Oryzias latipes: one gene and its partners. The protein of the gene in region 5 purifies or fractionates together with the protein of the main gene of each other region. This does not show direct contact. Links are inferred from orthologs where the notes say so. Each region holds a gene or a part of one and is shown on either strand. Other genes may lie near its edges. The genes, in order: stx5, napg, use1, stx10, napa, vps45 and stx7.

Region 1 (4,261 bases), on a different chromosome or scaffold from region 5:
ATAGTTTTTTTTTTTTTACTTTGCTGTATGTAGCTAAAACAATTTTATTTCTGCAAAGCATTTTTAATTTCCCTTGTTTGCATAAAACGATATGCAAATGAAATTGCCTTGCTTTACATGTGTTGTATAAGGCCTAAGTCATGTTTTTGTGGCATTTTTCTAATGCTGAAGAACATATCAAAAGAAAATTCTGCTTAAAATCGCATTTTTGAGTACTTCTTAATTCAAATGTGAACCAGGAGGTGATGAAAACATACCACTGGAAAAAGCTTGTAGTTGTGCTACAATCAGCAGGCCACAAGCTTCCAGCTCTGGTCCATTCTGATGCGTCCACTTGCAGATAACTATATACAAGTGCGTCTTTGGCTTCCTCAACTGAGCTGACATCTGGCTCTGCAGAAACCATGTTCCAGAAAACAACGTTGGTTTTTTTGGGGGCTAAAAACGGCATAATCATAATTAAAATACCACTGGGAACCCTTTTACAATAGATCAAAAGATGATTGGAGTGGGACTTTAAAAGTGCAGAAAATGTAAACAACACAAAGAACCAAGTTATAAAAACATTCATTATCTTAATGGATCAAAATTATTTTGGTCCTCTCCTTGGTATTCTTCAGACATGACTTGAAGTTCAACACGTGTTCTCAAATACATGTTATGACATGTTTGTGATTTCTATATACTTTTTAGGCCTTTAAAATAGCATTAAAATAAACAATAAAACATATAAATAAAACAATAAAAAATAATAGGGACCCAGTTCACTTTACTTATTTCGAGTTAAGAAAGCATTGAGTTAAGGGACACGTTTCAAACGTTATGTTTATCCATTTCTTTGTAACGGTCCAATAAGTAGTGGGGCCTAAACACAAGCTTTGTTTTTGTATTTTTTCTAAGACGTTTATAAAAAAATAGGTGTCATATTTATTACTAATACGTTGGTGGTGCTGGCGTAGTTGTTGCCATTCTCATCTCACAGGGAGAAGGCTCTGGGTCAAAACCCTGCTGCACCTTTTTGTGTGGAGTGTGCATGTTCTCCTCGTTTATGCGTAGGTTTCTTCTGATTTCTTCCCACAGTTTAAAGTCATGCTTCGTAGGTCAATTGGTGGTTATTAATAGTCCCTTGGGTGTGAACGTTTGTAGTTGTTTGTCTCCGTGTTGCCCTGCTATGGACTGGAAAACTGTCCAGGATGTACTCTACCTTCCCTCCTCAGTGGTTGGGTAGACGATGGCATTGAACAGGAATAAGTGGATTTAGAGACTAATTGGCTATATTTGGTAATTTTAGTAATCTCAGCAATTTCTGAGATGCATCCTGGCAGTAGAATGTGTGTATAAGTTTTACATATTAAATGAAGTTCCAATAAGTATGTCAAGGATGCATTTACAAAAAGTTGTAAATATGACTTCATGTTTTTGTTCTTATGCCCTTTCAAACAAAATGTCTTTCTAATTGGCAAAACACTGATAATGAAATAAAAATAAGAAATATAAAAGCAAACCTCATGTACCAATGACATGAAATTTTATAATTGAAAGACCCATTTTGAATCTTTCCCAGCAAAAAGACAGAACAGACATTTGGACAAGGACAGGATGGGCTGCTTCCTCAGGTGATTCAACACTCAGGTACAGCATGGAAAGAGAAAGATACGATCTTGCTGCTCTCTGATGTTCTCAACCTCCTGCTGGTACCTGCATCCTTTTTCTGACAGGCCCAAGCATGCTCAGACCACAAGTATGCCTCCAGCCCCAGATCCCCAGCCTTCCACCCGTCTGAACCCTGTACCGTCGTACCTTCCCTTATCCGTTCCATCATATGTCACACCTTTCTTTAAACCACTCAGAAAATCTCCCTTTGTGTGCTTTTTGGATTGTTTTATGGTATTAAATAGTATATATGTCAATAATATGTCAGAAAAAATGATTGAGCCTAACTTTTATATCAGTATTCGTCCAATAATTATATAGTAGTCAGTTGTGCTTCACATTAAAGACCCACTCCAATAAAAATCCTGATTTGGGTGTTTTTAACATGTTCTTGTGGCGTTTTTTTGACATCTATGAAGAAAATTAAGATCAAAACTGCATTTCTGAGTGTTTCTTTATTCAAATCGTTATGAATCAGGAGCAGATAAAACAAATGCTGTTGGAAAAAGCTTGAAGCAGTGACATAGGTGCTACAATTGGCAGGCCACAAGCTCTGAGCTCCTCTCTATTCTGATGCATCCACTTGTAGACGACTAGATCTATTTCCGCCTTCATTTTCCTTGTATGAGCTGAGATCTGGCTCAAAACTGTACGGCAGGATAGTTTCGATATTGCTCGCCATTTTTGTTGCATCTGTAATGTTAGGTTGGGGTTCTGAGGGGCTGTAGGCTAGTGGGAGAGAGTGTAAACAAAGGGATGATGTCAGGGCAGGCTTACTTCATGCCAACAGTCCTGCCAAAAGCTCAGAGGTGAATTTTAGTGAACTCCTTGTCATGGGGCCTCTGTCAGCTATCTTCCCCCTCCCCTCTCTGCTTGGCCACTGATTCGTCCCAGCTGCGTTCACTCATCTCATCAACCTGCCAGACCTACTTAAGGAGCGCCAGGACCAGAATTCAACGCTAGTTCGTTGCCCCTGATGGTGCTTGTCTGGTCTCTTTCAAGTTTTCCTGTTACGTATCTTTACCCTCGTCTAAACTCTAGTCTTTCTATGTCCAGGACCTACATATCCCACGAGTGGACGCCAGCTTCAGCTTCAGCCCAAGCGGAGTTATCCCCGGAGTTACCTACCTCCTCTCAACGCTCCATACATCAGGCCTCAGCTCTGGCCTCAGCCGAACCTCCAGCCACGTCAAGATCCACCCTCTCATCTGGAGTTGCCGTTCCTGCCATTCCCCGCCACAACAGGACAAATTCATCCGCTGGAAAAATTAAATCTATTATTTACCTTCACTCACCTCCTGTCTTCCTTCTGGGTTTCAGCGTCTGGGTCTGTCTAGCTTTGACAAGTCATGACAGAACGAACAACTAGCCAAAACCCCGACCCAGCTGGCCCGGAAGATTTACAAAATATTGTCTCCCAACAAGGTCGGTTCCTGGAACTCCTCTCCAGTGCGGTCACCCGCGTCACTACAGTCCAAGAGGACACGATCTCTCGCATCAGAGGTATGAACCAAACGCTTTCCGAGCTAACCGAGCGACATGCTAACCCTGCTATAGGAGCTTCTACTCCGTCTTCCGGCAACAATGCAGCTTCCGCTTCCGGTCCTGTCAACTCACCCGAAAACTTCCGGTTACAGCCTGAACCGTTCCTAGGCAACGTAGAAGCCTGTGGCGGGTTCTTACTTCAATGCCAACTCATATTCCAGCAGGCTCCCAGGCATTATCACTCTGATATCAGTAAAATCACCCTTATAATAAATTTTCTCCGGAAGAAAGCTCTTCGGTGGGCTCAAGCCTTTGTTTCTGCTAACCCTATTAGTCACCTTCGCTATGAACACTTCCTAAACGAATTCCGTTTGATTTTTGACCAACCCCGTAAACGGGAAGAAGCCACACGTAAATTACTTAACCTGAAACAACACAACCGGACTGTTAGTGAGCACGTCATTGACTCCGCATTCTGGCGGTCGAAGCAGGCTGGCCAGATCTGGCTTTAAAGGGCATTTTTTATCAATCTTTGAATGAAGAAATTAAAGACCATCTCTGTACTCAGCCTGAAACTAACTCCTTTGAAGAGCTCGTTTCAGCAGCCCTCCGCTCGGACATCCGACTCACCGAGCGACGTCATGATCGCCAACAGACCCCGAAGAAAACCATCAGCGATCCGGCCCCTTCTACCATCACAGCCCAGTCGCCCCTCAGAATGGATTTTCTCGCAAGCTCCAAACCATCTGAGGGACCTATACAGAGATCATTCTAAACTATCTGCAGAAGAACGACAGAGGCGAAAAGAGGAGGGTTCATGTTTTTATTGTGGAGCCCATGGACATTTAGTTTCACAGTGCACTCTGCGTTTAAATTCCCAAAACCCCCCGCTGAGTGACAGGTCACGGGGGGGCAACCTCAGCACTCAGGAAAATCAAAGCTTCCTGTGCATTCCTGTCAGAATATGCTGTAAAACCCAAACTCATGCTTTCAGGGCACTTATAGATTCTGGAGCCGAACAGAGCCTAATTGATCATGGTCTGGTGTCTAAACTCGGTCTTCCCACAGAACCTCTGGAAGCTCCTGTAGAGGCCTCGGGCTTAGGAGGGCAGCACCTCTCCAG
Region 2 (4,048 bases), on a different chromosome or scaffold from region 5:
TTTTTTTCCCTTTTAAAATGTCCTAAAGCAAATAATATCATATCATATATAGCAATGATTGTGATTATTGAACTTGTGTTTTTTTAGTCCATAAACGTCTTTATGCAGCTCAGTGGACTTGTGGTAGAGTGTCCACCCTGTAACTGGAAGGTCATGAGTTTAAATCCAGGCTGAGACATACCCAAGACCCTAAAAATGGGACCTAATGAATGCCTCCCTGCTTGACACTCAGTATTAAGAGCTTGGATTGTAGTAAGTAAGTAAGTAAGTAATCTTTATTTATATAGCACTTCTCACAGAGAACGACTCACAAAGTGCTTCACAACGTAAAAACAATATAAAATCAGTAGCGATACCCAATAAAACGCACACAGGCATAGAAATAAACAAACAGGCAAAAGTGAACACAAGTAAAAGTCAGCTAAAAGCTTTCCTAAATAAAAAGGTCTTAACTTGAGCTTTAAAACACTCGACTGAGTCAATCTGGCGCAGAGACAGGGGGAGGTCGTTCCAAAGTCGGGGAGCAACTGCCTGAAAGGCGAGGTCTCCTCTTGTTTTAAAATGAGTTTTTGGAACACATAAAAGATTTTTTTCAGTGGACCTCAAAGAACGTGCAGGAGTGTAGGGAGTTAAAAGGTCAGAAATATAGATCGGGTATGCACCCGTATGGAAGCATTAGTGTAGCATAATTAAAACTAAAAGTCAAAACCAGAAATGCTTTTTCATTTTCAAAATGAAGCTGCATTTTTTGACTCAAAATTAAAATGAAAAAGCAATCCGCCAAACCGCTTTTTCTTTTTCTTCTTCAACACTGCTTATTCTGTCACTTAATTAAAATGATAATGAAAATGGTGTTTGACATTTCATTTTCAAAAAGTTCTCTGGTAAATGTGTAGCAAAATTCATTTAGAAATGTCTAATTTGACAATTAAAATGGATTAACAGAAATGCTTTTTCATTTTCAAAATGTAACTGCATCAGATGACTCAAAATTTAAATGAAAAATCAATCTTAAAAACCGCTTATTCTGTGTCATAATTAAAACGAAAATGCAAAAAGGGGATTGCACTTTCATTTTCACATCCACCCTGCGAACATTGTCGCGATAATAATTTCGAATAAGCATTTCCAGAGGGGAGGCGGGGCGATGACATCAGTACTATCTTCGTGTGTCCGGCTGCGAAGAGACACATGCTAGGAGCAGTGTAGCTTTGTGTTAGCGGCAGAGAAGGGGGCTTTGTGATGGTTGTGAACTTCTGATGATTGTACACAACGTAGCTACGTAGCAGCATTTCCGCCTTCTGTGGTCCTCCTTCGGACGCACAACGTTTTGTCCAAACTGCCCCCAGACTAGCTTTGTCTTCGGACCGGTAGCCGTTTTTAGCACGTTTTTGACGTACCACAGTGCGTCCGAAGGATGACCACAGAAGGCGGAAATGCTGCTACGTAGTCCTGATAAGCTGTGTAAAATCATCAGAAGTTCACAACCATCACAAAGCCCTCTCCTCTGCCGCTAACACAAAGCTACACTGCTCCTAGCATGAGTCTCGTAACAACCGGACACACGGAGATAGCAGTGACGTCATCGCCCCGCCTCCCCTCTGGAAATGCTAAGTCGAATTGAAATATGCGACACTATTCACAGGGTGGATGTGAAAATGAAAATGCAATCCCCTCTTTGCATTTTCATTTTAATTATGACACAGAATAAGCGGTTTTTAAGATTAATTTTTCATTTAAATTTTGAGTCATCTGATGCAGTTACATTTTGAAAATGAAAAAGCATTTCTGGTTTTGACTTTTATTTTTAATTATGCTACACAAATGCTCCCATAGAATTGGGGGGGTTAAACCACCAAATGGTTCCCTGGCACGGCTGTGTCTGCAGCTCACCGCTCCCCCAGGGGGATGATGGGTCAAATGCGGAGAACAAATGTCACATGTCTAGGTAGGTGTGACAGATGAAGGGACTTTAACTTTTTATTTTATGACATGACAAACTGTCACATTTCAGTAGAGATAGGGTGCATTAACAAGACAGGTGTCCTCGTTAATGGAGCAAAGACACTAAAAGCTAAGCCCCACATGTGAGGATACGTCTTGTTCTCCGTGTGGTACTCCGCCTCCTTCAGGTAAGCATCCTTCGCCTGTTCGTACTGCTTTGCGTTCTTGAAGCAGACAGCTGCAGGAGAAGAGTCAAGAACACATGCGGGATTGATTGATCATGACATGTCAGCCTCCTCGTCTGCTGGGACTGCTGGGGTTGCGGACGTGAGGCTTTCACCTGCTTTGGCGTATTCCGACGCTGCGCTGTCAAAGTCCGGCTTCCACTTCGTCATGCTCGTCTTTAAGCTACAGAAACAGGAGGAGTCGGTGAAAAACGGCTCCGGTAATCCCGGTCACCGAATTCAGACGACTCATGAGTGTTAGGAGAAACGCACAGATTTAACAACCGTGCAATACGTCAGGGATCAACCGTGTTCTGTCAGACTGAGCCAGTGGCCTGCAGTGCTGCTAGCTAGCTAAATCAGGATCACAAACTGGTCTTTTCTTTCTGCGCCGGAAATGGCAGCATTCGTGTCGGAACTCACCATTTTTCGGCTTTAGCTATGTGCTCGTGAGCTTCATTTATCTTCTGTGCAGCCATGCTGTGAAATAATCACAGTCGTACTGATATCGAGAAACGGATAGGAATATTTTGTACGGCGATGTTTGGATCATCAGGAACTCCTCCTCAGCGCTGACGTCATCGAATGTTGCAGGCTACGGGTGCCGCCGAGGGACAAGCAAAACACCCGAATCAACACAGCCGAATAAGCTGTTGTTTATTTATGTAAATATTGCAATACAGATTCTGTATTGTATAGTACAGTTGTACATTAATATTTGTTCGTTCTACTGTTTTATTTTTTAAGTGGTGGTTCATAACTCAATTTATTGATAGATTTCTGATTAAAATCCAGTATTCTTACTCAGCTAGAGTGACTTGTGTAATTGTAATTTTTGGCAACAGTTTTTGGCATGGACTTTCACATTACTGGCCATACGTTGTTGATAGAATTTGGCTTTGATAAAACATCCCTGATTAGCGCATGGGAACACTTTTAATATTATTTTAAACCAGAAGATTACACTTGCCTGTAAAACAGCATGGAGAGGTAAGACAACCTCTATTATTTAAAGTCCCAGTCAAATTATTTTTTGATCTATTCTTAAAGCATTCCCAGAGGTCTTTTAAGTATTATTATGCAATTTTTAGCCCAAATCAATAAACCTGTGTCCTAGTTTCTGCAGGGCGCTAGGAGTTGATCAGAAATGCACCTCTGAGTTGTGGGCGCGCTGATGTCATGGAGTGAGCCTGTGCTCATTTCCCATCATCCATCTGTTTACATGCTCTCCCGCTACCTCATGGCCCCTCACACCCCCAACCTCATTAGCGGCGCAACATAAATGGTGGTCAGTATCAGAGTTATCCAGCATTCCAGGAAAATGAAGACGTTCATGGATCCATTGGTCTGACGGTGGATAATCAGAATGGAGCAGAGCAGGGAGCTTATAGCCTGCTGATTGTAGTTTGAACATAACATTAACAAGCTTTTTCAAACGGCATGTTTTCGTCTGCTCCTGATTCACCACAATTTGAAGGAATAAAAATACTCAGAAATGCATTTTTATACATATCTTCCATCATCAGAAAATGCTACAAGAACCTGTTAAAAAGAGCAAAAACAGAATAGGTCCATAAATTCAATCACATCTGAACATCTGATAAAAGTTTCAAACTTCAGCATAGAGTGTATTTCTTTAGTTTGCAAACTCTAAATTAAAAAAATCTCTTTTTACTCATCTTCTGTTCTTCCATTAACAAAATGATCTTTTCCAGTAACCCTCGATGGCAAAAAGACACCGAAATAGAACTTTTTTATTAGATCCAATCCATGTTTTACTCCAAAGTACTGACTGCAGCAAGTGGCTTGCAGGCATTCAAAGTTCATGCTTCTTAGATTTAATTCAAAACTCTGTTTATTAAATTCAAGATTCTGAGAGC
Region 3 (4,037 bases), on a different chromosome or scaffold from region 5:
AGGCTACCAGCATCTCCTCTAGAGCACCAACGTACTAAAAAAAACAGAGATTTGTCTATTTAGCTTAAAACTATAACTTTTTTTTTTTTTTTTTTTAACTTGTCCTGTCCAACAGCTGGGCAGACAGATGAGAGCTGAGGGCCTCTTGTGTTGGACATATTTTATTTTAACAACAGGGGTTATTAATCTTCAGACAAACCAAAGGTATGTCTGAATAAACCCCCTTTGTAATTGAGGCCAAACTTTATTAATTTCAAACATGTCTGAAAATCTTTGGTGTTGGACCGGACGGAAAAGGAAAGAGGGGAAGAAGAGGGAGGGACGATAGAGAGAGGGGGGGGTAGGGGGTGATAATAGGAGGGGAAGGGGGATAAGACCATGAAGCAGCATACAGCAACAAGTTTACTGTTTGTTAATCATTATGGTAAGGTTCAAATGTAGTAGTAAAAAAAAAAAAAAAAAAAAAAAAAAGGGGGCGGAGCCTGTCCACACACACACTGAAATGTATTAAACACACCTGCTAGCTGCAAAAATGTCCACCTGTCGACATGTACACAAAACAGATAGTGTTCACACGCATACTTATGCCTTTAAACCAACTAGTGTGAAATATTTCAGTCATGCAAACTGTTAGTGCAAAGGTGAGCTAACACCTGTGCTCAGGTGAGTGTTTATGTTCTTCTAAAATGGATGGTGGAATGTGAAAAGAAGGAGGGAGAGTGCCCAGCCATCCCCACACCAAGACCCCCACCGCAGCAGCAGCGGCAGCCGGAATCCCCCCAACGCCACACGGGAACCGGCAGGGAACAACCGCCGCCCGGGCGACCAAGCCCGCCACCCAGGCCAGGACCAGCAGGACCGCCGCAAGGCCCCCAGAGCCAGAGGCCAGGGAGGCGCGGAGGGAAAGAGAGCGCCGCCCCAGCCCAACCAGGAGAGCAGCCCCCCCGCCGCGCCGGGAGAACCCAACGCAGGGCCCCACCGGAGAAGGACGCCCACAGCCCCAAACGAGCACCCCACCACCACCCAGGAGTTCCGGGCAACCCCCCGCCCCAACCCCAGGTACGAGCCAGGACCCCCCAAGGGAGACCCGCTCCGCACTCCAGGTAGCCACCCGCCCGGCCCACGGTTGGTCCAGGGAGGAGCGAGGCAGGGGCCCGCCGCCCCCGCCCAGGAGGGGGGAACCCCGGGGAAAGAAAGAGGGCCCACAAGGGGTGTTATAAATATCGCCCGACCAGGCTCGGCCACAGTTGGAAATTTGGCGGGGCCCAGCACTCAGGAGCGAGGACCAGAACCCACCCCCCAGGGACCAGACACCCCCGGCTCAGATGTAATGTGAACCCCCCCACCGTGCGGAGAGAGCACCGCCGGGCCCAGGAAGCCGGCACCCCGGGGACACAGCCGCCGTTGCAATAAAACTATAACTTAACTTTAAAAACAGCATTTGAGTTCAATCTTAAATCTAAATATGCGAAAAACTATAAAGACAAAAATAATTATTTAGGCAATAAAAAACAAAACAGACAAGAAAAATATGTATAAGGAAGGAAAGAAGCAGTAGAAAATGTTTGGGTTCGACACTTTGGAAGAGTTTGATGTCTGAATCTTTCTAGAAAAATCCCAGAATTCTGGTCTTCAGGTCAGCCACACTTTCACATTTCATCTAGAAGACCTGCTGTTAAAGAATTCAGGTTAATTAAGTTTAACAACCGGATGCTATGCGAGCAGATATTTATGTCGGCAAAGGTACGGAACCTTCAGAACATCAGCCGACCTTCCTCATCCATTTGCATCTTCTCACATATTACTCACTTCATCTTTCTTTCTTTTTTCTACACCGCTTACGTTTTCAGGACATTTTTAACCTAAGTTCTCCATCAGCAGCTGAAACTGAAGATCAGCCAAACAGATTCTGGATCAACCTTTAAAATGCAGCCGACCTGGAGACCAGAACCCTGAGAACACGACCAGGACGAGCCGGAACCTGAGAAAAATACGACATGTGAAAGAAAAGCCTTTTTCTGAACTAAAGACACAAAATGGACTGTTTGGCACTAAAACAACAGAAGAGGAGCAAGCTCCGGCTTCCTACCACCGTCCAGAAACATGCTTGACAGGTCCATCTAAATTATCCATAGGTGTGATTGTGAGTGTGAGAGTGCATGGGTGTGTGAGTGTGAGAGTGCGTGGGTGTGTGAGTGTGAGTGTGAGAGTGCATGGGTGTGTGAGTGTGAGATTGTGAGAGTGCGTGGGTGTGTGAGTGTGGCCCTATGACAGACTGGCGACCTGTCTTCACCCGTGAGAGGTCGGGATAGGCTCCAGCAGCCCCGTGACCCCGAAAGAGAACAAACGGATTAGAAGATGAAAAATGAATGAACGGTGTAAACAGCTGCACATGTAGACGAGGACTTAAGAAAGAGGAAAGAAAAAAACAAATGAATGTTTTCCCGCGAATAAACTACTAAATGACTGTTGGCATTTTTAGGCACAATGTGTATCATACTCTGCAAATTTCCTTAAGAAATCTGGTTAAACTAAAGTAATTCAGTGCAGCACTCATAAACTACAGCTCAAAGAAACCAGTCTGGTTTTAGTGACGACGTGGCTAACAGCGGCTAATAGCTGCACAGCTAACCCCAACAACACCCACTATTCAGTTCTGCTGCTAAAACATCCCATAATTTCAGACTTCCTTACCTTCTCTAGCCTCCATTCTGTCTCCCCTCGCTTCTCAGACGCTATAGATTCACAGCGAGACAACAATCTGATGAAATTAATCTCCAATCTTGAAGCCATGTTTGACGCTGACACACGGTCGCGGAAATCTGACGTCACAGGAAAAGACCGCTAAGGAGGGGGGGGGGGGGTGTTTCATTTTGAAAGGTAAATTCTAAATTCTCTAAATCTCTACACACTTTGTTACCACTGAAAAATATATCAATAATTTTTTTTAAAGTTTCCTCTGTAGATGTATTTTAGATAGAAATATTATAATCTGTGGATGTATTTCTATGTTCACAACAGGAAGGAAGCCTTTTGTTTTGTTTCTTTGTAAGTCTTCATGTTGCAATAAACTTTTCGTGTTTTAAAATAAATGTTGAAGCATTTCTGGACGCTTGAATTTTCCAATTTTCCCTTTCAGACCAAAAAGAGATTAGAGGTTAGAAAAAAAAAAACAGAGCCAAAAGTAATACACTTGTTTTTTTTTTAAATTAAATATACTTTAGTAAAAGTATAGCAAGTATTCTGTAAAGCTATTTCATACCATTTTATACCATGTATAAAATATATGTTTATAGTATTTTTTACCATGTGTGGGTAGTTTAGGAAGTAAATTAACTGAATTCTTCAGACTAAATTGGAATATTTTAAGTTTACAAAATATATAGATAGTACATAAAAAGTAAAGTTCAAGTATACGGCCTTAGTTAGTAGTAAACTAAGCATGCTCGTAGTATACCTGAATAGACTACTTTTTGCGATGTGAGTACTCACTAGTCCATGCATATGACTAAAATAATTTATATATTTAAATAAGTACTTCTCAGAGTATTTTGCTGACTTGGCAAAAAACCCGGTTCAGTGACTCCAGTGTACAGCTTCTTAATACTTCAAACGTGCATAGTATAAAAGACAAATATGGATTAATCACACATAAGGTTCTGTTAGTAATGGATGTTTAGTGTGACTTTTTGCAGAAAAAGTGCAATAAAGGTCACCGTTCAAAAAGGCAGAATTCAGGGAGTTTTTTTTTTTTGTTTTTTAAACTTGTCTTGTCCAGAACTGAGGGCCTCTTGTGTTGGACATATTTTCAGGGAGTTTTTCTAAACACAGTGAACCAAAACAGAGACTTACCTGAACTCCACAAATCCTGTTCAGCCGGTTATTCTGCATTAATGTCTTCAATGACCTTTTTACTTTGAAAATAATTGGAAGCAAAGCAAAAACCTAAAAAACCAATTAACATGTTAAAATAAAGTCTTTTCTACACCAAAGGCAAACTCAGAATACCCCAAACTGATGAAACACCACCATGTTAT
Region 4 (4,126 bases), on a different chromosome or scaffold from region 5:
CTGGTTCGTTCCACAAAGTCTCTCCGTTCCTGGAGCTCATATTCACCCAACCGGAACTTTCCTGGGTTGGACTCTACGATGCCTGAGCTGGTCAAGGAAGAATTCAACATTTGAAAAAAAACTAAAACAATTTTTTAAAAATGTAATGTACTAAATTTTGTTTCTTGTAAAAAAACAAAATTAAAAACTTGGAAACATGTCTCCTTCATAGGAGTAATAAATGTAGACAACTTGATGGATTAACTGTTGATTTGTTTCACAAGATGACAAAAACTACTGTAGAACATTAAAGACTATCCTTCAACACAGAGAAACAGAGGGTTATTTAGCTCCATTTGATGCTAGTTGACCTACAATAACGTTTAAAGATCCACTCCCATGAAAATGGTGTTTCTGTTTTTAACAATTTTTCTCATGATTGAGGACATAGAAAAAGAAAATAAAGCTTCAAATTGCATTTCAGAGTATTTCTTAATTCAAATGGTTGTAAGATTGGAGCAGACGAAAAAAATGCAGTTTGAAAAAGAAGCTTGTGTGTTACAAAGAAAATCCGTTGGTGGGGTAACAAGCTCCCTGCTCCGAGCTCTCAGCGACGAGGAGAGAAACGAGGGGGCATGGTTGCTCCGCACCTACAGTTCTGCCAAATTTCTGATGAACTCCTGCCGCTCTGAAGAAACACTGTCCTAGAAAACAACTGTTTTTTTTCATATTTTGGCTAAAAACATCATGATCATAGTTAAAACTCCACTGGAAACGCTTTGAAAATAGATCAAAAGATGATTGGAGTGGGGCGTTAAAGAGTTGTCTGTGCATAAAGGATACTGATGGTTTCACTGAGGTCCTCCAGATCCCAGTCTATGGCCCTCAGACAGTTTCTCAGCTCATTGGCACTCCAATCCAGCTCATCTCGACTCACCTGAGATGACAAGGAAAGTACGACGTAGGTTAAAACACTTCAAATTAAGAAAATAAAGGTTAAGTTTTACAAAAAATAAAGGCTTTTTTTCATTAAAGCTGTTTATTTAAGTGTATGGAGTCAAATCTTTGAGACTCTGAGGAATTCTGGTTGACACAGTAACCAAAGGAAATTCAAGACAGCAGTTAAAATCCCAACTTTAGCTTGGGATTCCTGTAAACCAGGAGTCTGCAACCTTTAACACACAAAGAGCCATTTGATTTAATTTCTTATTAAAAAAAACCCAGCGAGATACGCAAATTCCCACTTCAATTTTAGAAAAATATAACGTATTTTTGCTTTTGTGGCCATTAAGCCATTCATTTGTAGCTTTAAAATATTTACAATAATTGAACAATAACAGTACTGTTTTTTTCAATGTAAAACATCTTTCATTTCTTTTGTTTTTTACAGCAGCACATAAAAATTCCTTTCAAAATAAAATAAACCTTGTGTCAAATAAGATCCTCTTGCTGCAGCAGATTAATTTGAATAAAAATGCACGAAAGTCAAGTCAATGATGACATTTTCTGTCATTATGACTTATTTTCTTATCAGTTATAGCCTTGACCACTTTGGTGGAGAATCCAATTAAAAATTAACTACACGTGTAAATGCAATCATATGCTTTAAAAACGCCTCTGTACAGCAACTACACACTGTTGTGCAGCAGTAGATAAGAAAATGTGCTTTAAGAATATTCTAAAAATAAATCCCCTAAAAACGTAGCGCACTAAAACAACACAGACAACACACACGGGATGGCAACGAAAAATGATCAAACCATCATAACAGTCCAATGTGTGGAAACACTTTGAATTTTGCAAAGACATGTGACCATACAGTGTGGTAGAATTTTCTAATAATGTTCTGTTTGGATTATTTTGATGTGGAAAAACAGCAGTGGGCGGAATTTTATCAAACTAAAATGTGAATTGATTACATATTAATTCTGGTTTACTTGTTTGTTTGTACACATATTAAATTTACACTTAATTATCTTGTAAGGAAAACAACAAATCTGAAAAACCTCACCTGCACTGTTCAGTACCCAGTTATTTATCTCTGAGTCACGATGACTGAATTAATTTGGGTAAAGATGTCCTGGATTGATTTTAGATCAGTGAATCAAATCGAATCGAATTGTTCATATTGATTATTGAATTGTATCGTTAGCCACAAATTAAAATATCAATCGAATAGTTGTTGAAATGAATTGTTACACCCCTACTGTTGTTTGATGTTTATGTCTATGCCAAACAGTCTTTAAAGGCTCACTTGTGTCCCATCCTGCAACAGTTCTTCCCATCTATCAAACAGACTCCGGGCACGGGACAGCGCCTTCTGCACCTCCCTGAAGAGCAGAAAACAACAACAACAACACAAACAGTTATTTGTTCAATTAAAAACAGCTTCTTCGCTTCTCTTGTTCTCCTAGTTAAAATGACGCATTCCTTTGCGTCTCCTTATTCTGAAAGCAGCCTACGCGTTCAGTGAACGACCCCTTAATTCTCAGAACATTTTTCTCAAACATGAACACACTGACACTGACAGCCTGAACGCCTCTCCTCTCTTCACTCACTGTAGCATCGGTGCTACTTCGCTTTAACAGCGCTAACTTTCATAACTTTTCAAGAAGCACAAAAACATATTTTACATTTTTCTTTTTAAAAAAGTTACACATTTAACAACATTCTCAGGATAAAGTTGATTTTTGACTCGGTTTCTTTCAACTCACCCCTTCACAACGAAAAACGGGTCTTCTAGCGACATTTTGCTTCCTTCCTTGGTAGGCCGTGCGCCTGCGCATGTTTCTTGTAGCGTGATGACGTCATCTGGAACGTAAACACGACACAGGAAAAGTATTGTCTCTGAGGAAGAAATGACAAAGCGATAGGACCAAAACAAACAAACAGAAAAACAAAGAAACAAAAACCAACAACAAAATAAAACGGTGGAATCTGGTTATACCCGCGATAAAACGAATATGTAGGCTATGTCCCTATTTGACCTGGGGGGTATTCCAAAAAGCAGGTTATGTGAATTACCACGGTAGGTTTAGGCTAAGGAAAACGTATAACCTCAGCTTTCGGTTCCAAAACCAGAGGTATTTTAAGTGTATGCTTAGTTCCCATAGCAACTCATGCTCTGAACATAACCTGGGGCCTGTTGCACAAAAGTACGATAAGGGATTAAGCAGGGATATCTTGGTGATCCTGGCTCAATTGATCCTCAATCCGGTTGCACTAAAGCTGGATAGGGGGCAGGAGGATATGTTATGGTATAAATTACCATGGAGATTTATTCTGTGGAGCTAGCCTGCTCCAGACCAGGCTAAATTCCAGGATCTATTTAATCTCATCCCTAATGTCAGTCAGCAGTCGCCACAAATGGAAACCAATAGTTATTTCATTGCTCACTATACATTGTTATCACATATAACTAGACCCGCTGTCATTATTTAAACGTTCGTGATCATTAATTTCAATCATTTTGGATAAATAATGAGTTTTAGATGATGTTGCTATCATTAGATAATTTACAGTGTCCCATAGACTATAAGGCTATATATAAAATGATAGAATATTAGGGCCACAGAGGGAAAAAAAGACAAGTCATAATATTGTAACCAGTTGTTTTAAAGGAGGACAGTTGTTAAAATGACAGATGTGGGGCATTTCGTGAAATTGTCCTTCAGTATGGTTTCATAAACGAAGACATGCTGATGTGCCAGAATATGAAGTATCACATTTTCATAACTATCAAAACTGTAAAAAGAATATGTTGCTTTTCTGCAGAAAGAACCAGCCTCGTAAATTTATGACTTTATCCTTTTTGCCTTAGTGGGCCCTAGTACTCTGTCATATAAAATAATACACATTCCATTAAAATATGAAAACACAATGTGTAAAATTATGTTCCTTTATTGAATAAGGACAAAACAAAGCAGGTAAACTACACTCAAAAAAAGTTCACTTTGAATGAACATAAAAAAATTATGGAAATGATTTCCACATGATTAGACAGCGTTACTTGAACAAAAATGAATCATATTGGTCATACTTAATGTACTTAGGTTCAAACTAATAAGTTTAAGTTGATTCAATCTAACTACTGCAGTTGGACCCAACTTTAAATTAATATTGTTGCTCACTCTCAAAGGATAAAAGT
Region 5 (4,050 bases):
TGCACATTAATGAACATCTATCAAACAATGATAGGCGTAAACATGCTGGATTATAGCAATGATGCTAATTTGCATCCATAGTCCCTAGGCAGGAAACATAAAACAGGACAAAACAAAAGACAGAGTCACAGATCCAATAAGAACACAAAAGGGTGGCACATTATGAGAGTTAAAAGTCAGTGGCTACAGGACTGGAGGATAAGGATGTAAATGGGCATAGCATGTAAACGACACCAAACGTGAAAGGATGCATCTGCAACGCTGATGGAAACGTTTACATTCTTTTCCTGGAGCGATGATGAAGGTGGAATGTGTGAGTTGACCTGTAGCATGACAACAAGTCCAATCATGTCACCAGCAAAATAAAGAACTACTGACTGAACCAGATGGTTAGTTAGCCATCAAACTCCTAACAATTGTAAAGTCAGGACTTCACACACCGAACGTTAAATTTCATGGGAAAGAATATAGAAGGAAATTAATAAAAAATATGAATTCCTTAATTCTTACTTCCAGTAGGAAAAAGAGCCGTGAAAATACATCATATTTCATCAAAAAAATAATTCTTTAGTGTGCCAAAGGTAATATATGATCACATATATGGATAAAGTTTACTCTGAAAGGCGTAACAATAGCATGATATATAGGCCCTACAACTCACATCTGCCTGCAGCTCAACTCCTCCATCCTCCATGGGAGTTTTAGCCCCCCCCCCAGCAACAACAGGTACCTGTTATTGCTAAATAAGATTCCCACAGTATTCCTCTAAGCCCGTCAGACAAATTATATCAGGTTGATGCAGGAAAGGAGGAGACAGTGGAAATGGAGGTAGTTGTGCATTAAAAAAAACCCAGAGGAACCAATCATTTTCCAGTAATATCCCTACAACTGTTTTGGTTTTGGCTACAGATATTTATGATCTTTCATATTCCTAACTACTCAGTGTTTTATCAGGGCCTGTTCGGATGAACACAGATCTAATATCATGGAGATTTACATATCAGTAAAAATTAATTTTCCACAGTACACATGACCATCTCTCATGGCACATTTGCTTCATTAAAGTCCTCCATGATCAGAAGAATGTCAGAATAACATGTTAAAAAACATTAAAAACACCCGTTTCATCTGATCTGCTCTTAAATGGGGGATGCCCAATATATCCAATTAAAACCAGACTGTATATTACACAATTTAAAATGAAATATTGCATCCCCGCAGCATATATTTGCATATATTTATAGTGAAAGTGTCAAACACATGTGATCTGCTATTTTTAATTTATTGACATTGTTTTATAACATTTCACCAGGCTTAGAATAAGCTAAATCAAGGCTTTTTCTTTCATTTCTTATTAGCAAACTTAAAAAAAATGTTTCTCTATGTTTTTTGTAGTTGTTTTTGCAATGCACACACCAAATATCGAACCAAAACAAAACCGTGACCCAAAAATGGAGGTTTGAATCAAATAGGGAAGAAAACGAACAGTTGCATCCCTAAAAGGCAATGCGTGTCCACATACATTTATGTGGATATTTATTTGATTTGCAACACATTTGATGAATGAAAACCTTTTTGTTCTTGAAAAAATTATTTTAAAAAAATAAATGAAGCAAGCTCTTTATAAAGCAGTGTAATTTCTCACAACAACAGAACAGGTTTTGAGAGTTAAAAAATAAATATATAAACCCACAGAAATGAAGAACATTACCTTGGGGGTCTGCTTTTTTGAAGGCATTTCCAGCGTCTATGAGGTTAGTTGCTGCATCGTGTTTACTCTGCATCTGCAGGTGAAGATGAGCAGCCTGCGCGAAAGCATTTCCTGCAGCTGGAAAGAAATGTTGCAAGATTAAGGTGTTTACAGATAACAGCGGGGAGAAGGGGGGCTTGTTACACACTTACCAGACCAGTTTTTAGCCATTTTGTACATGTTGGCTGCTCTCACATAGATTTCGCAGGCCTCTTCCGACCTGGAGGAACCCCTGTGAGATAACATACACGCGCATTTAAAAAAAGACAAATTGGAAGTTAAAACCGTGTTGCATAAATATGCAATATATCTCTGCAGACTAAGTGTAAATACCACCTTAAATCTTATAGAAAACACAAATGTGCGGCTGTAAACCAATGACTGACATGTGATCTGCAGTACACCTTTATTCCGGAAGGTGGTGCTGCAGCATCGGCACAAGTACACTTTGAACTTGAGACAAAAACAATATTTCCGTTTAATTTAAAGTTAATACATAAACACAACAATCTTTAAGTATAGTCATTAACAGAGCGGGTATAGGCAATTGCTGTGAATGACAATAATGCTGTTTACAAACATTCGAGGCAGAAAACCCGGGAATGGTGGCGTAACAACATCACAGACACAACAGCATCATTTAAACCCAAAACTAAAATTAAATGAAAGATTCACCACTCAGAGTTAAAGGTATTCTTTAGTTCCGCTATACAAACGGAGTGATAACTGCTTAGTCAGACACCTTCCGCATTGTTGGCCCCTAGACTAGAAAAGCTAGCTAACACTTACGCTAGCTTTCTGACAAACTTACCCAAACAGCGTCCCAAAAAACGACTTCGACGATTTTATTTTTTTGTCCGCCTCCGCCATCAAAGCTTCCGCTTCCTTTTCTTTCCCACTGTTGTCCATTTTCGTGCCTTGTCCCTTAAATCTGTGGACAAATACCTAAATGTAAAAGTCAACAAACTTGCTAACTGCTGCTAGCTGCGTCGTCACATCACCAGTTACAGACCAGCAGTTCCCCTGTCACGTGACACGGGAGAACGGAAACTCCTGCTGCATTCAGGAACTCTTTGTAAATAAGACTTTTCTGTGTCACTTAATACTATTTCCCCCAACCTTGAGTAATATTTTAAGAAACATACCAATTACAATCTGTTCTTACGGGATGAAAAACTTTATGTTTTTGTTTGTTGCACACCTTCATTTACCAAAATTAAATAATTAACATGACTAAATGAAAAGACCCTTAAAAAATAAAAAATCTAAAATGCTAAGTAACAAATAACTCCTACTTTTACTATGTATTTCCTAAATGTCGGGTCTTGGATTGTGCAATAGTGTTACTTGCAAAACAGCAGTTTCACAATTTTCATATCTTTACCATTTGCGTCTTGCTTTTAACGTGATGGGAAAAAAAACATTTTACACAGCTTCTTGAGATAATATTGGGGTTTTTAATGGGTCAACTTAAAATTCTGATTTAAAAATATGTACCCAACAGAAAACCCCCTTATGTAGAACTGCAAAGTAAAATGTTGTTCTGCATCTAAAAAAACAACAGAAATGTCCCCCAAAACTTTTGTAAATTTCTAAAACTTTCTCTGACGGTTAGAAAATGGTTTACTTTGGACATGTTTAGTTCGTGCATCAGTGACAGAGTGGAGTCAGTTTGCAACAATTTTTTTTAAATTTATTTGACATGTAGTAAGGGAAAAACTATTTTTTTATTTCTTTATTCGTACTTTTTTTAAATATATATTCTTGGTCTGTTTTTCAATCCCTTTTATAAACGTTTGTTTCCTTTATTGTTATTTTTTATTTCTACAACACTTCATGTTGGGTCACAGGGTTTTAGCCTTGAGTCTTTTTCAGGGTGTCATCCCTAAAGAGGGATCCTTTGTCCCACTGCATTTCAGGGACACCATGACACAATGGTGCCTTTGGACTATGAAAGAACACAAACCAAATATGGAAGAATTAACATCTCAGTCAGATTTGCAGACAGCACTTTCTTGATTGTTTTATTGACTTTTAATGTGGGATAAAATTGTTATCCAGTTGGTTTGTAGATTACAAATTTGACTTGATCTCTTGACTTGTTATCATCACTGGCTTAAGAGGGCTAAAAAGTCTGCTATCAAAGTGAGAAGGCCTGAGTTCGAATCCTGGCCAGGTTTTTTCTATGCAGAGTTTCCTTAATTTAGCTTGTTTTGTTTTTCCTGGTACTCTCCTGGTATTGCATCCTATAATATGCCTCTAAATTGTCCCAAGATGTGATTGGGAGTGTTTGTGTAAAT
Region 6 (3,965 bases), on a different chromosome or scaffold from region 5:
GTGACAAACTGTTGCTGCTTAGAGAATCATCAAACTAAAACTAAATCAACTTTTTTTATTTATAAATTTTATTTTTTAACATTATTTAAATGAAGAACAATCCAAAGTACTTTTTTTATAAATATTTAAGTATTGAATTTTTCCTTTATTGAACAATTACTAGTGAAAAACAGCAAAGTATGAAGGCTAAAGTTCCGCTTTTTAAGACTTCTTTCTAAAAATGATTTGAAAACTTCCGATTATAATGTCATTTTGGTGAGAATGTGGGGTAATGGGCTGTCATTTCTCTGTAAACCTTGACACTTTCCGCGAGGCGTTTGGACATGTCTGAGGACAGCTGGTAGCGGATCATTGGACATTTCTTCAGAGCCAGAAGAACGGATGTCAGACCCTGAGTGCAGCGACTCAACATGGAGGGTTCCCAGCTCCGCCCCTGACGAACGAACAAAGAGATGCACTTTTATCCTCATTTAGCAAACCAAATCTGTCATGTGAGGCCAAGCAGCTAAAAAAAGGAAAGCTTACTCTAGCGACTCCCTGCAGGTTGAGGGAGAACAGGTGAGGGTTCACAGCGATGAAATCTCCATAAAACTCCTGGAAAAACACAAAAAGATCTTCCTGGATCTGAACTTTAAGATTCTTTCTGAGCTGCAGAAATACAACCTAAAACACTGAGATGCAGAATTTTTATAAAAACTTTGATGTAAAAAAAAATAAGATTGTTCCAAGTGTGTTTATGATAAACAAATGAGTTAGAAGCGTATTAATGCATCCACTGATGTTGTTCCAGACTGTCATCATTTCTGGTGTTTGTTATAGAACAGAAGTTTTTTTTACGGGCAATTTGATGTAGTAACTGTGGTATTCTAATCTTTTAAAGTCCCACTCTGGTTCTCATGCATTTCAAAAGTGTTTCCTGTGGTGAAATTCGCCTCCGAGTTGTGGGCGGAGCCATCATCCACCTGTTTACATGTTGTCCTGCTAGCTTACAGCCCCTCACACCCCAGTTTAACACTGTAGCAACAACGGCGAGCGATATCGGAGCTATTCAGCCGTACCGTTTGGAGTTTCCAGCTCGGACAAGAAAAATGAAGACATACATGGAATTATTTGACCATTAGTTTGTGTATGTGGCTCGCCCAGCGTGTTTTCTAAGTAGCATTTATGATCTTTTTCTTTCTTTTGCTCCCGATTCACAACAATTAGACTAAAGAAATACTTAAAAAATGCCATTTTAATCTTAATTTTCTTAATTTGTGTCCTCCGTCATCAGAAAAATGCAACAAGAACGTGATTAAAGCACCACAAACATGATTTTCATCAGAGTAGGTCTTTAAAAGGATTTGTTGCCACTTAATAGTTACTTTTGTTACACAGTCAATAACAGCTAAGACACCAAATAAAGGGTTATTTCCAGTTATTGAAACGTACAGATGGATTGTAATGAGGGGAGAAATATGTCCAATAAATTGAAGATTTAAAACACCAAGTAGGAGCCGACGCTCACCTGGACCTCAGCCACCACCTCCTGTTCATCCGCCTCAGCCAGAACTTTGATCTCACTCTTACTGATCACGTTACTGAAGTCTGAAACACAAGAAAATAGGAGCTTAGTGAGGAGTCTTATTTCATTTTGCATACATCTAATCTTTTTTAATCATTTGTTTCTTGCGTCAAGTCATTTTTAGTTATTTTGAGTTTTTTGCTTTAATATTTTTTTTTTATTCTGGAAGCAAAAGAAAATAACTGACTGCCTGAACTCTCAACAGATAAACATTTAACACACAGATGAAGTAGATGCTGTATTTGGGCCTCCTCAGCTCCTGGATTAGATGCTGAACGTTCTCCTGCACACAGAACAGGACAGAACGTTAAGACACTTTCCACAAAAAACAACAAACTGTCTGCTGGTTTTGTACCTTAGTGGGACGGAGGAAGCAAATGGCCTTCAGGTGCTTCATGCTGTCTCTGCTCTGAGAGTCGATCCGCTCGAACAAGTAAACTTCCTTCTGCAGGATCTCGGACTGCGTGTACACCACACTGACTATACTGGTCTGACACACAACACGGGTAGATTCAGTTCAAACTGCATGTCATAGCCAAAAAATAAAAATAAAAAGAAATATGCATTTAGTGAGACGAGCAACAGAGCTAAATATGTGGCTTTTATGTGGTTCCAGTTGCTGTTAAATCTTGTTTTCATCTCCAGTATGGTCAGCTGTTGACCGTCCGGTGCCTGACTGGAGGGAATTTCAGCATGGAGAGGATGCTGCGGTCTGGATCTGGAATGCTCTTATTTACAAACATGACTCATTTGAAAAACAAAGCCATTAACGTTTACATTTATTTACTTTTGTTTAAGTTTATCATTAAAACTGTACACTAACTCCTGTGTTAGCATAAGAGAACAAATACCAAGTGAAACAAAGGAGTGACAACATCTCACAGGAAGCAGGAGGACAATAGTCACGTGAGGCAACAGTATAATATGACAGAACGACAGGAGTAAAAGTGTCATTGATTGTCCCACCGTCTCTTTGTCCATGAGCAGCACCTTCATTCCGGGCCCGCTGCTCTCGATCATTTTCGAGATGTACTGCTTCACCGCGAGCGTCACGTTCATGATGGCCTCGCTGACGCACAACAACCGTGAAAACGAATCAACCAGGAAGAAAAAAAACAGCAGCAGCCTCCAAGAGTCTGTGTCGCTCCGTTTGAGGGATTTTCTGGGGTGCTATGAGGAGGACTGAGCTGTTGTGACAACACTGAAAGTCTTTTCCTGGTTTGGTGACGTCATCACGTCGTGCGTTGTAAAGTGGGAGGGACGAACCGAGCAGTTCTTCTGGGACTTGTTTTAAAATGTTAACGATGGTGTTTTTTCCTCATTTCTTCGTTTTTCGTGGAAGAATTAATTTAACATGTGCGGGTTTTTTTTTTTACATTAAAACTTGGAATTTTGGCAACATTTAAATCATTTAAAGCTTTAAGGTTTTCAATTAAATAAACATACAATTAAATTTTCTTGTTTTCTTTCAATGGATTGCTGATGTTTTCAGATGTTTTTCACTTACACTAACTGCCTTTATGGTCTTTACTAAGTTACATCCATAAACCTTAGCTTTTCCATAATCCTTTATCCTCCTCTGATCCTGTCTCTCAGCTTCCTTTTGCCAACAAAGTGAGCCTACTTTGTAAATATCTAATTAAAGGCAGGTTTTAAAGCAATAGATGTTATAATATGGACATACATTGGCTTAAATCCTACCAAAAAAATCAATTCATATAGTATCAACTATAAATGAAGGCCAAAAACGTAAATAGCAAATTAAAGTAAAAAGTCATCTGTTGTTTGATCCATAAGTAACACACATTGATTTTTTTCTTTCTAGTAAAAATGACTAAATCTAGCATATATTTTGCCAATAGACATTACCACTGACTAAATATTAGTTGAAAACAAAAGGCTCACAATTGTTAGCATGATGCTAATACTGTCCAGATTCCAAAATAAAGTACAACAAGATAGAAACATGAAATAGATTTCTTCAAAATACTATTTTAAACGTAGCCTAAAAATGTTAACAATGAAATATTAACATTTGCATGTGTTATTAGTTTAATAACTATTATTTTTCCTAAACTGATAGGACTTAAGGTGTGGGTTTCTGCAACAACACGACAAAAACTCTTAATAAGTACACTAAATGTATAATCAAAAAATGTTTTTACTTAAAGCACAAATGTTAAAACCACAACAATGTCACATTCTTGTATTTATGGTTAGTTTGACTGATCACCATTGTCTGCTGAAGAAACCTAAATAAACCTGTATATTTATAGATTTTGCTTGCTAAATAAACATATACGTCTCTCAAATTTAAATACTACTATTTAAAACGGAGGAATAGATATCTATAAATGTCAGTATATTATGATCACATTAGCATCGTGCACAGCCAGGTCCT
Region 7 (4,046 bases), on a different chromosome or scaffold from region 5:
ATCCAGATTTCCACTCCTCTACTGAGTGGAGACGAAGGGTCCAAAGGGGAGAGAACTGCAGGGGACCTCCACCTGAGGAAGACCTCCACCTGAAGAAGACCTCCACCTGAGGAAGGCCTCCACCTGAAGAAGACCTCCACCTGAGGAAGACCTCCTCCTGAAGAAGACCTCAACATGAGGAAGACCTCCACCTGAGGGATACCTCCTCCTGAAGAAGACCTCCACCTGAGGAAGACCTCCACCTGAGGAAAACCTCAACATGAGGAAGACCTCCACCTGAGGAAGACCTCCACCTGAGGAAAACCTCAACATGAGGAAGACCTCCACCTGAAGAAGACCTCAACATGAGGAAAACCTTAACATGAGGAAGACCTCCACCTCTGTCTCCTTTCCCCCCTCCTTCTCAAATATGTGGCCTTCAGACTCTGTCATATTTTTTGAATAAACATCATTTTGCTCCAGCGCGCTGAAACTATGTTTTAGTCCTTTATTGTTAATGTTATGACTTGTTTTTGTGGAGTTGACTCGTTTCCATCCTAAAGGACCGGGGCGCAGCAGAACCCTGAAGCCTTGTCTCCAGTCTTTGGTGGGAGTGTCCCCTGGCCCCTGCGGCTCCTGCGGCTCTTGGCTCCAGCGGGGCCGGGCCGTGCGCGTCATGTGACCGGGGAGTGGCTGCGAGTCAGGAAACGGCGCAGCTCCAAGTCTCAGCGCAGGTAAAGTCCAAACGATCCCAGAAACGAACCGAACCGTTCTAGAGCAGGTTTTGGTCTCGATCCAAAATCCTACCGCGGGTTTCGGAGCGCTTCACTTTCTGAGGACAAACGGCGAGATGTCCCGAACCGGGCTGGGGGCGGGTGGGGGGGCAGTTGTGTAGAGACCGGTAGTTTCATGAGCTAAACGTCACGTTGACGCTTAAAGTTCGGGGTTTTATAAACAGAAACTCCGGGAGAGAGCAGCCGTCACGGAAGGACACAGACCGTGGTGTTCCGAGAAAGTCCTCTGATTTCCGCATTTGCGGCTGCTGGAAAGACTGCAGCCCCACCGACCGACCGCTGCAGGCGGCAGGCTGCCCCGTAACGCACGGCGGAGGGGGTCTTGACGGGGTCCTAAAAACGCGTCATCATAGCAGACGCTGGAGCGCCGCTGGTCCCGGAAACGCGCGTGAGCAACTGCCTGACCCGCGTCAACGCCCCCCCCCCCCCCCCCCAACTGGCCCCCGATCAGAGCAGACTGGGCATGAGCCCACGTTGGTCCAGCATGGATGGGGGTCAGGGGTCAGCTGGGCTGGTGTTTGCTGCAGCAGCTCTTTGGTTCTGACCTTCAGCGTTTCAGAGTTTCAGGATTTGTTCTGAGAGGAAAAGCAACTTTCCTTCTTTGTGTTTTCACTGCCTCCATCACTCAAAGCTGTGAGGAAGTTTCCATCATCTCCATTTGTTATCAAAACGTTGGTTTGACCTCAGACTGTTGATGCTTATGTCAGACAAACGCTGATGATGGTGTAGTTTTCCCTCCTGATCCTGTTGGTACAGAGTAAGCCCACCTTCACTTCCCGTCATCCATAGCTTTAGCGGCACCACAAGAATGCTGCTCAATATTGGAGCTGTCCATGGATCTATTTGTCTGCAGGTGGGGGCATCAGAATGGAGCAGGGCAGGGACACTTTGGCCTGGCCAGAGTATTTTCTACATCACTAGTCTTCATCACAGTCTTTTTTTGTCTGCTCCTGATTGACAACAGTTTTGGGTTTGGGTTTTGCCAGCACCCGTCCTGCTAGTTAAAAACCTACTCCAATGAAAATGGTGTTTGTGGTGTTTTTACATGTTCTTGTAGCATTTTCTAATGATGGAGGACATACATATATATAGAAAATCAAGCTTAAAACTGCATTTCTGAGTATTTCTTTCTTCAAATCGTTGTGAATCAGGAGCAGAAGAAAAAATGCTGTTTGAAAAACCTCTTAGTTGTTACGTAAACTACAATCAGCAGGTCACCAGCTCCCTGCTCTGCTCTATTCTGATCTGTCAGACAAACAGATCCGTGAACGTCTTTGTCTTCCTGGTCTGACCTGGAATCTGGATCAGAACTGGACGGATGATAGATCTGATGTTGATCACCATTTTTGTTGCATCACTAATATTAGCTTGAGGTTGTGAGGGGCTGTAAGCTAGCAGGGGAGAGTTGTAAAAAGATGGATGACGGGAAGGGGGGGTGTTGTGCTTTTCGCCAACAGTCCCGCCCACACCTTAGAGGGGAATTTCTAATGAATTACTCCCAGTCCGCAGAAACTATGTCCTAGAAAACGACAACGTTTTCTGATTTAGTCTAAAAACAGCAGAATCGTAGTGAAAAGACCGCTGGGAACACTTTGACAATAGATCATAAGATGATGGTTGGGGGACTTTAAAGGTTAAACATGCAGTTTGTATGAAAGCAAGACATAAATGTGTCTTTCTGTGTGAACTCAGCTCTCATCATGGCCTACCAGGCTGGGATTCAACGGGAGCCCGCCGCTTTGGTTCAGAACATCAGCTCCAACATCCAGAGGATCACACTACTGAGTAATGCACACACACACACACACACACACACCCACACAGACCTGTGCACATGCTGAACCCCACTGGACCCCCAGCATCCTCACTCATGGATCTGTGTTCCAGCCTCAGAGCTGCAGAGGGCCGTGACCCTGCTGGGGACGGAGCAGGACAGCAGCCAGCTCAGACAGACGCTGTGAGTTCTGACCGCCTGCTTGATCACACATGCAGCCAAATGAGTTCAAACCGACAGCCGGCCTGTCTGTGGACGGTCACCATGCACACACACACATACGTTTCCCTTGTTCCTTCAGTCAGTTCATTTGTAAAGACTCCTGAATGGCAGGAAGCAGACTGTCTTTATTATTTTAGCATCTAATTCATTCATCAAAACAGAAAGATAACTTTAAAAAGATGTTCTAAACACATACATGTTCATATACACACATTGGAGATGCAGGTTGTTACTAAAGTAAGTTCTATTCTTATAACAGTGTTTTACTTGAATGGGATCATTTGTCCCTGTTTTAAAACAGTTCCATTCAGTGGGTTTAAGGTTCAAAAAGTAGTTTTCAACCTTTAGAATAGTTTTTTTTTACTCTGTACTCAGCTAGCTCCTGAAACCCGAGCATTTTCCACGTCAGGAGTAATGGATTTGTAAGATTTCTGTTTCCTCGAGTGAAACGTTTCACAGATGCTTCCCTCTGGTTCTCAGTCAGCAGAAACAGCAGCAGGGGAACCAGCTGGCCAAGGAGACCGACCAGCTGATCAAGGCCTTCACCGCCCTCCCCGTCGGTCCCGATCAGGTACGAGGCCCCTTCGTCCCACGCACCGATCACATCGAACCCGGTCAGGAGTTTGTGGGAATTGATCAGCTGTGTTTGTGTTTTCAGAGGCAGAGGAAGCTGCAGAAGGAGCGTTTGCTCAATGACTTCTCTGCTGCGTTGAACAGTTTCCAGAAGACCCAACGGCAGGCCGCCGACAAGGAGCGGGAGTTCGTGGCCCGAGTCCGAGCTGGCTCCAGGCTGTCGGTTCGTATTCGCCTTCGTCATTTCTGGGAGTGCTGTGAGCGAGAGCTTTCCGTGCACGCTCACCTCATACTCACACGTTCCACAACCAGGACCATCCGGGTTCTTTCTGAACAACACTGCCATGGTTTCCCGGTTTCAGCTGTTCTGGGCCATAATGTACCATCTGCTCAGAGTTTGGCTGAACGTTCAGACGTAGACAGGTTATTCAGATGAAACCCTCCAGCTGAGGAAATGAGAAAAGCTTCTTCCAGTGACAGTGTGTCTGGGTTTATAGGCGTGTTCAGGATGGAGTGGGTGAGTGTGAGCGCTGTGAGGAAATGTTTCAGATGGTCAGGTGAGCAGATGCACCTGTCCCAGCCTGTTCCAGACCCAGCATGAGCCTTCCGCTGGTTGGGGGGCAGATCTCTTTATGTTGATTCATTGATGGTTGTGGTTCTTGCTGGCATTCAAACATCTCCATAAAGTAAGAACAGGCATTGTC

Evidence for each region.
Region 1: the proteins of napa (region 5) and stx5 purify together in Homo sapiens (affinity purification with mass spectrometry; 3 studies listed by BioGRID and IntAct, with this or other methods). This does not show direct contact. The link is inferred for Oryzias latipes from reciprocal best matches to the Homo sapiens genes NAPA and STX5.
Region 2: the proteins of napa (region 5) and napg purify together in Homo sapiens (affinity purification with mass spectrometry; 3 studies listed by BioGRID and IntAct, counting the BioPlex papers as one, with this or other methods). This does not show direct contact. The link is inferred for Oryzias latipes from reciprocal best matches to the Homo sapiens genes NAPA and NAPG.
Region 3: the proteins of napa (region 5) and use1 purify together in Homo sapiens (affinity purification with mass spectrometry; 3 studies listed by BioGRID and IntAct, counting the BioPlex papers as one, with this or other methods). This does not show direct contact. The link is inferred for Oryzias latipes from reciprocal best matches to the Homo sapiens genes NAPA and USE1.
Region 4: the proteins of napa (region 5) and stx10 purify together in Homo sapiens (affinity purification with mass spectrometry; 3 studies listed by BioGRID and IntAct, with this or other methods). This does not show direct contact. The link is inferred for Oryzias latipes from reciprocal best matches to the Homo sapiens genes NAPA and STX10.
Region 6: the proteins of napa (region 5) and vps45 purify together in Homo sapiens (affinity purification with mass spectrometry; 3 studies listed by BioGRID and IntAct, with this or other methods). This does not show direct contact. The link is inferred for Oryzias latipes from reciprocal best matches to the Homo sapiens genes NAPA and VPS45.
Region 7: the proteins of napa (region 5) and stx7 purify together in Homo sapiens (affinity purification with mass spectrometry; 4 studies listed by BioGRID and IntAct, counting the BioPlex papers as one, with this or other methods). This does not show direct contact. The link is inferred for Oryzias latipes from reciprocal best matches to the Homo sapiens genes NAPA and STX7.

What each region holds. Positions count from the first base shown.
Region 1 is NC_019868.2:11,883,641-11,887,901, reverse strand, and holds the start of stx5 (syntaxin-5), read right to left. Parts: upstream 2,801-4,261; 5' UTR 2,782-2,800; intron 1-2,781. UniProt on the Homo sapiens protein: Mediates endoplasmic reticulum to Golgi transport.
Region 2 is NC_019875.2:4,622,009-4,626,056, forward strand, and holds the start of napg (gamma-soluble NSF attachment protein), read right to left. Parts: upstream 2,801-4,048; 5' UTR 2,648-2,800; coding exon 2,592-2,647; intron 2,353-2,591; coding exon 2,285-2,352; intron 2,183-2,284; coding exon 2,098-2,182; intron 1-2,097. UniProt on the Homo sapiens protein: Required for vesicular transport between the endoplasmic reticulum and the Golgi apparatus.
Region 3 is NC_019862.2:32,661,347-32,665,383, reverse strand, and holds the start of use1 (vesicle transport protein USE1), read right to left. Parts: upstream 2,801-4,037; 5' UTR 2,794-2,800; coding exon 2,695-2,793; intron 35-2,694; coding exon 1-34.
Region 4 is NC_019859.2:26,813,350-26,817,475, forward strand, and holds the start of stx10 (syntaxin-10), read right to left. Parts: upstream 2,801-4,126; 5' UTR 2,729-2,800; coding exon 2,694-2,728; intron 2,310-2,693; coding exon 2,234-2,309; intron 917-2,233; coding exon 823-916; intron 83-822; coding exon 1-82. UniProt on the Homo sapiens protein: SNARE involved in vesicular transport from the late endosomes to the trans-Golgi network.
Region 5 is NC_019871.2:5,028,618-5,032,667, forward strand, and holds the start of napa (alpha-soluble NSF attachment protein), read right to left. Parts: upstream 2,801-4,050; 5' UTR 2,660-2,800; coding exon 2,562-2,659; intron 1,983-2,561; coding exon 1,903-1,982; intron 1,829-1,902; coding exon 1,712-1,828; intron 1-1,711. UniProt on the Homo sapiens protein: Required for vesicular transport between the endoplasmic reticulum and the Golgi apparatus. Together with GNA12 promotes CDH5 localization to plasma membrane.
Region 6 is NC_019869.2:4,532,289-4,536,253, forward strand, and holds the start of vps45 (vacuolar protein sorting-associated protein 45), read right to left. Parts: upstream 2,801-3,965; 5' UTR 2,624-2,800; coding exon 2,531-2,623; intron 2,055-2,530; coding exon 1,920-2,054; intron 1,848-1,919; coding exon 1,787-1,847; intron 1,588-1,786; coding exon 1,508-1,587; intron 595-1,507; coding exon 526-594; intron 434-525; coding exon 296-433; intron 1-295. UniProt on the Homo sapiens protein: May play a role in vesicle-mediated protein trafficking from the Golgi stack through the trans-Golgi network.
Region 7 is NC_019882.2:21,987,407-21,991,452, forward strand, and holds the start of stx7 (syntaxin-7), read left to right. Parts: upstream 1-1,246; 5' UTR 1,247-1,261; coding exon 1,262-1,406; intron 1,407-2,465; coding exon 2,466-2,558; intron 2,559-2,660; coding exon 2,661-2,730; intron 2,731-3,249; coding exon 3,250-3,340; intron 3,341-3,427; coding exon 3,428-3,565; intron 3,566-4,046. UniProt on the Homo sapiens protein: May be involved in protein trafficking from the plasma membrane to the early endosome (EE) as well as in homotypic fusion of endocytic organelles. Mediates the endocytic trafficking from early endosomes to late endosomes and lysosomes.